2 separate regions of the Mus musculus genome follow, and region 1 is reported to be linked to region 2. The links are microRNA targets in miRTarBase. Many come from high-throughput screens and were not tested one by one. Region 2 holds a microRNA gene; the other region holds the end of a gene's coding sequence.
Evidence for each region. The annotated mature microRNA mmu-miR-290a-3p reads AAAGUGCCGCCUAGUUUUAAGCCC and lies in region 2 at 3,065-3,088, opposite strand. An mRNA with a match to its seed (bases 2 to 7 or 8) in the 3' UTR can be bound and repressed. Matches are read on the target gene's strand: a 7mer-m8 pairs with bases 2 to 8, a 7mer-A1 pairs with bases 2 to 7 and ends in A, and an 8mer does both.

Region 1 (4,392 bases), not on the chromosome of region 2:
GTCCTTGTAATCCCATCAAGTCCGTTGCCACTGAGCTCTGCCGTCTGTGGTTTGCAGATGGGCAACAGTCTGCTGCTGGCTTTCCCTTTCTTTATACTGTGGTACTTTGTGCAGGGATGGCTCCTATACACTGACTTTGGAGAACACAAGAGAAGTTTAGGCTGAAGCTGAGTGAGCTTTTTGCATCTTCCCAGTGCAGCCTGCTTTGTAGCCTCACGTGTGCTCTTCCTTCTTCTCAGGTGCTGCTACATCTTCTTCCTCCTCTTCTCCCTCGTCCAGCTCCATCACAGCTGCTGTTATGTTGACACTAGCTGAACCATCAATGTCCAGTGCATCACAGAATGGAATGTCAGTTGAGTGCAGGTGACAGCAGGACTTGCTAGAGCACTTTGCACTTAATGGCTGTTGAGGGCCACATCTTTTTTTATACTGCACAGTGGCACACAAACACACAAAATCAGACAAGCACTATTTTATATTTAAAAATTATTTCTTGACAAGCTGACTTGGCACTTAAGTGCACTTTTTTTATGAAGAAAAAGTACAACGAACTGCTTTTCCTCAAGCAATAATTGTTTCCAACTTGTCTGGGAATTGCGTGTGTCTGGTAACTTGAAGGCCTTCCACTGTGGCAGAGGAGGCTTTTCACTGCCTGTAGAGACGACACAGTAGGCAGAGAAAAGGTGGGCCAGAACATGTGAGAAGACTTACTGTATATGTATTCCCTTGTATTTTGTTAAAGCTGGAACATTTGATATTTTTCCATTCATTTATTAAAAATATGAACCTATTTTCATTTGTACAAGCTAATTGTTTTTTAAAGCAAGTCACTTTAGGGTGACTTTAATTGTATAAGTCAAGCACATGTAACAAATTCAAGACTTGCAGTTAGTTAACAGGATATTATTAGACATCATCCTGGTAACCAAATATTAAAGATTCTCTTTAAAAATGACTGAACATGTTTACAGGTTTGAATTAGGCTAAAAGGTCTGTGGTGGCTTTTCACACCCCTTCAAATTGAAATGGGACTACTGTACTTTGCCATTTTTCTATAAATCAGTATTTTTTTTTAATTTTGATATAATACATTGTGTGAAAAAAGAAAATGGCTAATAAACTGTATTAAATCTTAAACAATGTATAAAGATTGTACTTAGCCAGTTCAAAGTGTATATTTATTCATAATGAATTATAACAGTTATATTTTTGTGTTTTCTTGTAAATGTTTCTTTTCCCTTAAATACAGATAATTCATTTGTATTGCTTATTTTATTATGAGCTTACAACAAAAAGACTTCAGGAACAAACTGTTAGAATGGTTCAAGGTTGTTTATATGACCTGCCTCACAAAGATGGTTATTATTTTAAGTATAAGTAGCTAGTTGGGTAGTAGGCCTATACAATTCAATGCCTTGTATAAACTGCAGAATGAACGCCAAGCTGTTTTCACTTGTATTGACTTTATGTTGTATGATTCCAATCTCTGTTTGGCACTTGTATTTAATTCCCCACCTTTGTAATACATTTGTATATTGCGGATGTGTTCATTGAGGCTATTTAAAACCTGGCGCTGTTAATACACAGTACTTCACTGTACAGACCGTTTTACTGTTTTAATTGTGATTCTGTGTGCTTTTTTTGAATGAGGCTGGCATGTTTTATTTGTTTTCTGGCAATACATGTGAGAATCTCGAAGCGTTTTGTTGTAGATGCTAACGTGTCAGAATCCTTAATCCTTTACATTGAACCTTTCTAAGAAAAGCATTTTCAGTCTTGTAATGTGTGCTTACAGTAACTAATTTTGTTGAAAAATGATTTCAAATTACTCAAATTTGTACAGACTGTAAAGATTTGTTGACAGCAAAATGTTGAAGAAAAAACTTATAGAATAAAACTATAAAGTATATATTAGGATCTGCAAACATGATGAATTATGTAATATATTGTACAAATGTAAGCAAAAGCTCTGAAATAAAATGCCATAGTTTGTGAATCCTTGATTTTGTTTGTAGAAGGTAAAGTAATTTGAGTTCACTTTGTATGTGATGAGTGCTGAGAGTCCATGCAGCCTGTATTACCTATCACAAGGGCTCACATCCGTATCCCAAAGGGAGTGTTCCGCTGTTCAAAATTAAAAGTCCCTTTATACAGTGCTGGGTTGTATAGCATGTACTTAGTGTGCTCCAGTCCTTGGCTTCAGTTCGCAGCACTGCACCAAATCAAACCGTAAATTCAAAAAAAAGAAAAAAAAAAAAAGTAAGTAAAGTGATGTTTTTAGGCTGTTATTATATAACTTTGCTAGAGTCTGAATACAGATTTTTTTGTTACAGTTGGGGGGAGGGGGGCATTGTCCAAAGAAGGAAAAAGGTAAGTACAATTTTAAAACTATATTTTGGGGCTAGCAGAGGTAAGCACTGATGACCAATCTTGATTTATCAATCCCTAGAACCCACATAGTAGAAGGAAAGACTGTCTCCTGCAGTTATCCTCTGCATTCACATACACAAAATACACAATAGAAAAGGATGTTTCTGCAGTGTATAATGGCCCATACCTGTAATCCCCAGCCTCAAGAGGTTGAGGCAGTTAGATCTTGAGCTACAGACGGAGTCTGTCTCAGTAAACAAACCTTGTTTTTCCTTTTTCTTGAGAATAAAATTGCTATATTGCCCAACCTGGTTTCAGTCTCACAGATTCTCAATTCTGCCTGAGACTCAAAGTGCCAGTATTATAGACCAGTAGTTTCTTAAAAAATTTTATTTTTCTCAGAATTATTACCTACAGTGTCTCTTGTCATTTAATATGATGGAGCCTTTCTGGCTCTGCTTTGAGTAACACCTCTGTACCTGTTACAGGAATCCAGTAATCATTGTTAAACCAGCCAGTATGCCTCTCCCCATTTCCAAGGTGCCCTAATTTACCTGATATATTGTATATTATCTTTTAAAAAAAACACTGAAGCAATTTAATCTGTAATCTCTCAGTGTAGAGTCCTTTCTTATATAGACCAAGCTGGCCTTCAACTCAGATTTACCTGCCCCTACCTCCTAAGTGTAGGCATTAGAGGTGTGTACACTACACCTGGCCTTAAGCCACTTGCTCCCAAATATGTTCATTGTGGCACTTAAGGAGGAAGAAAGTGGAAGAGATGGGCTTATAGTCAGAGGGTCTTGAAAGTCATCTAACAAATTTGTACTATATCACTGCAACCAGTGCGGGGGTTAGGTATCAAAAAATGTGCTGCCACTTGAGAGGAAGGGGGTGGTAGCACAAACTCGATGGTGTTTCAGTCAGAGCCCAGGAGTCTTCAAGACTCCATAGCTTGCCTTTCTCCTCTTACACAGGTAAGAAAACAAGGACCGACAAAGGGGGAGTCTCAACAGAGTGCTGCATGGCCCTTGTCATTCTCTTTAGTATTCCTTTCCCCAGCTGCACGTAATACTGATGGCTGGCAGAACAGAGGTGGGTTCCTGGCCAGAAATTGCTCTTGCTTTTGAAGACAATCTTGAAGAATGAGGACAGTGAACTTGTACCTGATCCAACTGACTCCTGTACCTAATACTCTTGAGCTTCGATGCATCACATCTAAACCATGAAGTTGAGGCATGAGAATAGGTCTGAACAGGCTAGGAGGAATGTACACACTCTGCTGCAGTTTGATCATTGACGTGTCAATTTAAGTTGGCCTACAACTTACCCATAAGGAGATGATCGCATGCTCATGGCCAGCTTTTCAGACTTCTTGTACACCCAAGTCCAGGTTTCCCTAATCGGCTCAGGGCAGCACGACAAACAGGAGACCTAAACCATCAGTTCCCCAGCTCCTGAGTCCCGATCAGCCACAGCCTGCTTGGAGAAGGGTTCAGAATGGAGGGACAAGGCCCCATCTCGGAAGTGACTGGAACTTGGGACCAGAGGGAACGTGAGATTCGTGGGAGTCCGGAAGTGAGGACTCTGCGTTGAGGCCGTTCAAGGAAGCTCAGGTCTAAACTTGGTTTCGGAAGGAAGGAGCACAAGAGAAAAAAAGGGCCTGGAGTGGGGGGTGAGTGGTGTGCATTATTTCAGAGCCATGTATCTGTGTTCTTATCAAGAGCCCTGTGGAATGCCAGGCTGGTTTCAGCTTGCAGGGTGTCCAGTACTCTCTTGGTGACGGTGTAGGTCTCCCCCTTGAGTTCCACCAGTGTTCATGATGACTCCAGGTGAATCTCTGAGCTGTGTCCAAGTGTCCCTTTAGGACTAGGCTTAGCGGGTAACTCCTGTAGTTACTAGCTATGCCAGGGGAGCCCTCCTTCCCTTAAGCTGGGTAAGCACTTCACCATTGGGCCACATTCTCAGCTCACCAGAGCTCAGAGTCTCTCTTAGAGTCCATGTACGCCTCAAATTCCATTA
Region 2 (4,392 bases):
CTGGGTTATTAGATTTTGCCCAGCTGTGGTGGTGTTCGCATTGAATCTCAACACTCCAGAAAACTGAGCAAGGTGGCCAAGGATGCAGAAATCATGGCTGTGCATGACTCACGACCTGACACTAGTGAGGCCTGGCAGACATCATTCCCAGCAACCACGTGGTAGCTCCACCACTTATAATGGGATAACTCCGCCCACTTCCAGTACAGTACCCAGAGATCTACCTTTATTATATTAAATTCAAACGCTATCCAGAAGTCCCCTATATCCTCCCCCACACCCTGCTCCCCAACCCACTACTTTTTAAAACCTGGCACCACCCCATTTCAGGTTAGCTTGTAACCATCCAGACACTCCACTAAAAGGAACTGGCCATGATGTATAGAAATGGAAAAGACTCACAGTATATAAACAAATGTGGGCTTAAATGTGGCTATGCTTAAAGGCACCTTTAAGCTAGTACAGGGTAATTCTTCCTTAAAACCATTGGAGGGGTGGCATGCCTAAATCCCAAGAGGCAAACAGGGGTGTCTCCCAAAAGGTGCCCTATTACTGTTGAAAACACTTCCAGCTATGTGTTGGTTTAACTTTTGGGGATTTTTTCAGACAGGGTTTTTCTGTATAGCCCAGGATTACCTTTAGTCTCAACCCCAGTGATTAAAAGGGTGCTTGCATGCTTGCAAGCTTTTTTTATCCCTAGGAACCATGGCGGGTGTTTTAAAACAAAAACTGAGAAAGCAGCAAAATCAAGAGAACAAGACTTTATTATTCATGTTTGGAGGCTGAGGGCACTGGTTGCTCCCATAGCACCTTGGTTCATTCAATAGCACCCACATGTCCCAGTTCCAGGAAACCTTCATCTGGATTCAGATACACACTACACATGCATGAAAGCAGCCGACCTGTGAATGGTGCCCACAGGAGAGACTCAAAAGTAGTAGCACTTTCTATGTACAGTCCAGAAGTGTGCCCCACATTTGAGTCTCACCAAGATGAGCAAGCAAGGAGTCTCTGGTTGATTGAAGTTCCGATGCTTTCTCCACATGGCAACACACAAAAGGGAAGCACTTTCCACTTAAAAGCTTAGATAGGGCCTCCATTTTGAGTATGGCTATATGGAATTTCGCTAGATCCAAACATGCCTACAACTGAACTGAAGATTAAGGATTATTCAATGCCAAAAGGATAAATGCAGCTATATGTAATACAGTACCTGTCAAATCTGGGTCACTTCCCGTGAGGTTCCGTGCACCTCAGCTTTTACTTTTGCCCCATTACAGACTGAATCATACCCACAGATGACACCCAAATGATGCAACACTTAGGCCAACTGCAGTTTCTCAATCGGCAACACTACAAACTCTGCGGCACTTCTTACAAAGAACAAAATGTCACACAGTTTGAGTACCACAGATTGAAGCATTTCCACAGGGACCTGCTGTGGTAATAAACCTGAAACTTTATAGTCAGTTCTTAGCCAGACCAGCCAGCCAGGCAGGTTGAAGGCAAGTAAGTACCCCAGGCTAGGCAGGATTACATTCAACTCAACTGGAACACCTGAAAAACAAAGAGAATCCATGAAGATTATGCTTAGGGCACACAATGTAACACCTGTAATCCCAGCCCTCATGAGCCTGGGCTATTGTAAAGCCAAAAGGTATTATGGGTATTATCTACCCGGCTGTCCACCAAGCTTGTTTGTGCTAGGAGCCAGGTTAAAGTCAGCTACAGCCAGCAGGTCCTAAAAATTCAATCCAACCATATCAAGACTCACAACCATCAGTCCAACTACAGTAGTCAAGCAAGATATAGCAACTACAGTAGTCAAGCAAGATATATAGGATCTTTTAATCCCAGGTGGATGGAGCTGAGGCCAGGCTGGTCTACAAGTGAGTTAGCTCCAGGACAGCCAGGGCTACAGAGAAACCCTGTTTGGAGAAAAAGGAAAAAAATTGAAAGAGGACTTAATATGGCGGCCACGTGAGATTTAAAAGTAGGCCTTTCTTTACTCAGACCTGAGGCTTAGACTCACCACCCCTGGACCTGGAGTGCCTCCTTCCACCCTGCCCTGCTTCCTCCTCACCTCCAGCCTTGCAGCTCGAGTAGCCAGTGGCAACGAATTCACCTCCAGCACACATACCTGTTTCAAGCAGGTAAGCGATTCCAGGTTGCAGCTGCAGCCGGCTTTTCAGACGCCATGTACACACAGAGACAAACAAAATGGATGCACTTTCCCGCCAAGCCGCGGAGAGGGCCTCCACTTTGATCGACACTGTATGTTCCAACTTCCAAGACCTGAGGCTCAGCTCCTCCGAGCGAGGCCCATGTGGGATCCCGGCTCCTTTATGAACGCGGAAAGCCTTTAGTACCGCATGCGCCCAAGTGTTCGGACTCAAACCCACATGTGACACCCACCTGCCCAGAAATGCAACCCCAGTGAAAACATGACCCACTAAAACTTAATTCTTAGTTCTTAGCCGTTTTGAGTTCTCAACCGGTGACACTCAAAACCTGGCGGCACTTTTCTTCCGATGAAAATCCAAAAGAGCCCCCAGTTTGAGTATCACAGGCTGGAGGTCAAGCTTAAGAACAATCTACAATGCACCTGGACTCACGACTGCCTTACATCCATCCGCGTCTCGTGGCACCCAACTGAACCGCCCTCTTTAGGATAGGACCCATTAAACTCCAAGCCTAAACCCCCACACAGGTTGTCCGCTCCTGTAAACCGATGCGTCAGATGCAAAGCTATGATGTTTTCCCCATGCAGTGGCACACAAAGTGGAAGCACTTTCTCATTCAGGCTCAAGAGAGGGCCTCCACTTTGATGGCCGCTACATAGGTGTAACAGCTCCAAGCAGCGACAGGACGCACATGGAGCCCCCAGGTACCCTACAACGACCACCTCAGTTACCGTCTACTGGGCAGGATGCCCATCCCTAGCCTTTCGCTATACTCAGTCTCATTCCTTTCTTCGAATCCGTACTCACCACGCTGCAGTTAACCCGGAACACGTGGCACCAGGGCTGGTAAATGTGCCAGATAGCCGTTTTCTCAACCGGCGGGGCTTAAAACTAGGCGGCACTTTTTAAAGAAAAAAAAAAGTGCCCCCATAGTTTGAGTACCGCAAGATGAGGCGGTCCAGACGTTAAAACATTTACCAGGAGGAAAGAACGTGGAGAACTTAAAATTCACTCCAACCTGAAGGAAACCTGGATGAAATCAAGGAAGAGTTAGTACATCGGTCTAACTCAAGGTATAGTGAAACTCAAAATTTCTACAATGAAACCACGTAGTTAATGAAATGTACTGCATAGACTCCCTAGACCTGCCCTCAGTAACTCCTAGCTTTGGTTTCTGGTCCCCAAACTTCACTCGCGCCCAGACTACTCACTTTCCCCACATAGGCTCGTTCCTCCCTTGAAATTATGTAGACCAAGTCAGAAAAAAAAGCCCAACTCTTTTTCCACACACATTAGTTCTAAATGTCTTCTTTGGAGACCAGACCAACCTCAGATGGGCCTGCCTCTGCCTCGGGATTAGTAAACCCAGCCAAACCGTGGGGGCGAGCGAGGAAGGCTGAGTTCGCGGCTAGCCTGCCTTTTAAAAAAGGGGCTCTAGTTTTTAAAAAGTAGAATGAAGATGGCCGTGATGACCTTTAATCTGGAGGCAGAGAGGCAGGCAGAAATGAGAGTTAAAGGCCAGCCTGGCTAGTCATCTCCAAAGTTGAAGCAGGAAGATCTCTCTTCTGGAAATCCTGGATCTACTTTCGCCTCTCTAAACCAGGTAGATTAAAACCACAGAACTGAAGGAAATAAAAAATCTGAAACTAAAAATATTACCTTTGCCTATGTGAGAAGCAGCACGCCGGAGGTATCCCTGAAGACCGCAGAGACCAGCATTCCCGATGTGGAGTAGAAGTCTCTGAGAGGCGTGGGGGAGGCTCTAGGTTCTTATATAGTCTGAAGGCTCATTGGCCCCCTGGACTGGGAGGCTCTGATACCCCTCCCCCACCCCGGAGAATCCTTACTCTACCACCCTGCTTCCTCTGAGCTGAGTTTCCCTGCGGCAGAGTGACCTTCACTGGTTTCTTCTCCCCCCCACCCCCCAGAGGAAACAGATTTCTTTGTTTGTTTCTAGAAGCAGCGCCTTTAATCCTATAGTTTTCTAGGCCGAGGCTGGAGGATCTTTGTTAGTTCAAGGCCAGCTTGGTCTACTATGGTGACTAGGCACGGGACTAGGCAGGGCTACATTCAGTATTAAGATAATAATAAAAATAAATAAAGGAAGAATGTGGGAGGTTCAGTTTATTCTTTCGTTTGAATTTTTTTTAAATCCAGAGTTTCAAATCCTCCCTCTTTTTTACCTTTCTTTCTTTCTTTCTTTCTTTCT

Region 1: the mRNA of Arid4b is a reported target of mmu-miR-290a-3p. Seed matches in the 3' UTR shown: 7mer-A1 at 392-398, 8mer at 509-516 and 7mer-m8 at 1,493-1,499.

The regions. Positions count from the first base shown.
Region 1 is chr13:14,197,367-14,201,758 of GRCm38, forward strand. Arid4b (AT rich interactive domain 4B (RBP1-like)) reads left to right here. Exons shown (of 24, transcript NM_194262.2): 24 at 240-2,237. The coding sequence ends at 367. Among named protein-coding and RNA genes, the nearest start is that of Gm26129, 110 kb to the left of the region's middle.
Region 2 is chr7:3,217,370-3,221,761 of GRCm38, reverse strand. It overlaps Mir290a (microRNA 290a), which reads right to left and starts at 3,136; the gene lies at 3,054-3,136. It overlaps Nlrp12 (NLR family, pyrin domain containing 12), which reads left to right. Exons shown (of 10, transcript NM_001033431.1): 10 at 1-252. Mir290b (microRNA 290b) reads left to right here and starts at 3,067; the gene lies at 3,067-3,124. It overlaps D7Ertd143e (DNA segment, Chr 7, ERATO Doi 143, expressed), which reads right to left and starts at 2,978. Exons shown (of 1, transcript NR_028425.1): 1 at 747-2,978. It also overlaps Mir291a, Mir292, Mir292b, Mir291b, Mir293 and Mir294, and 1 more gene.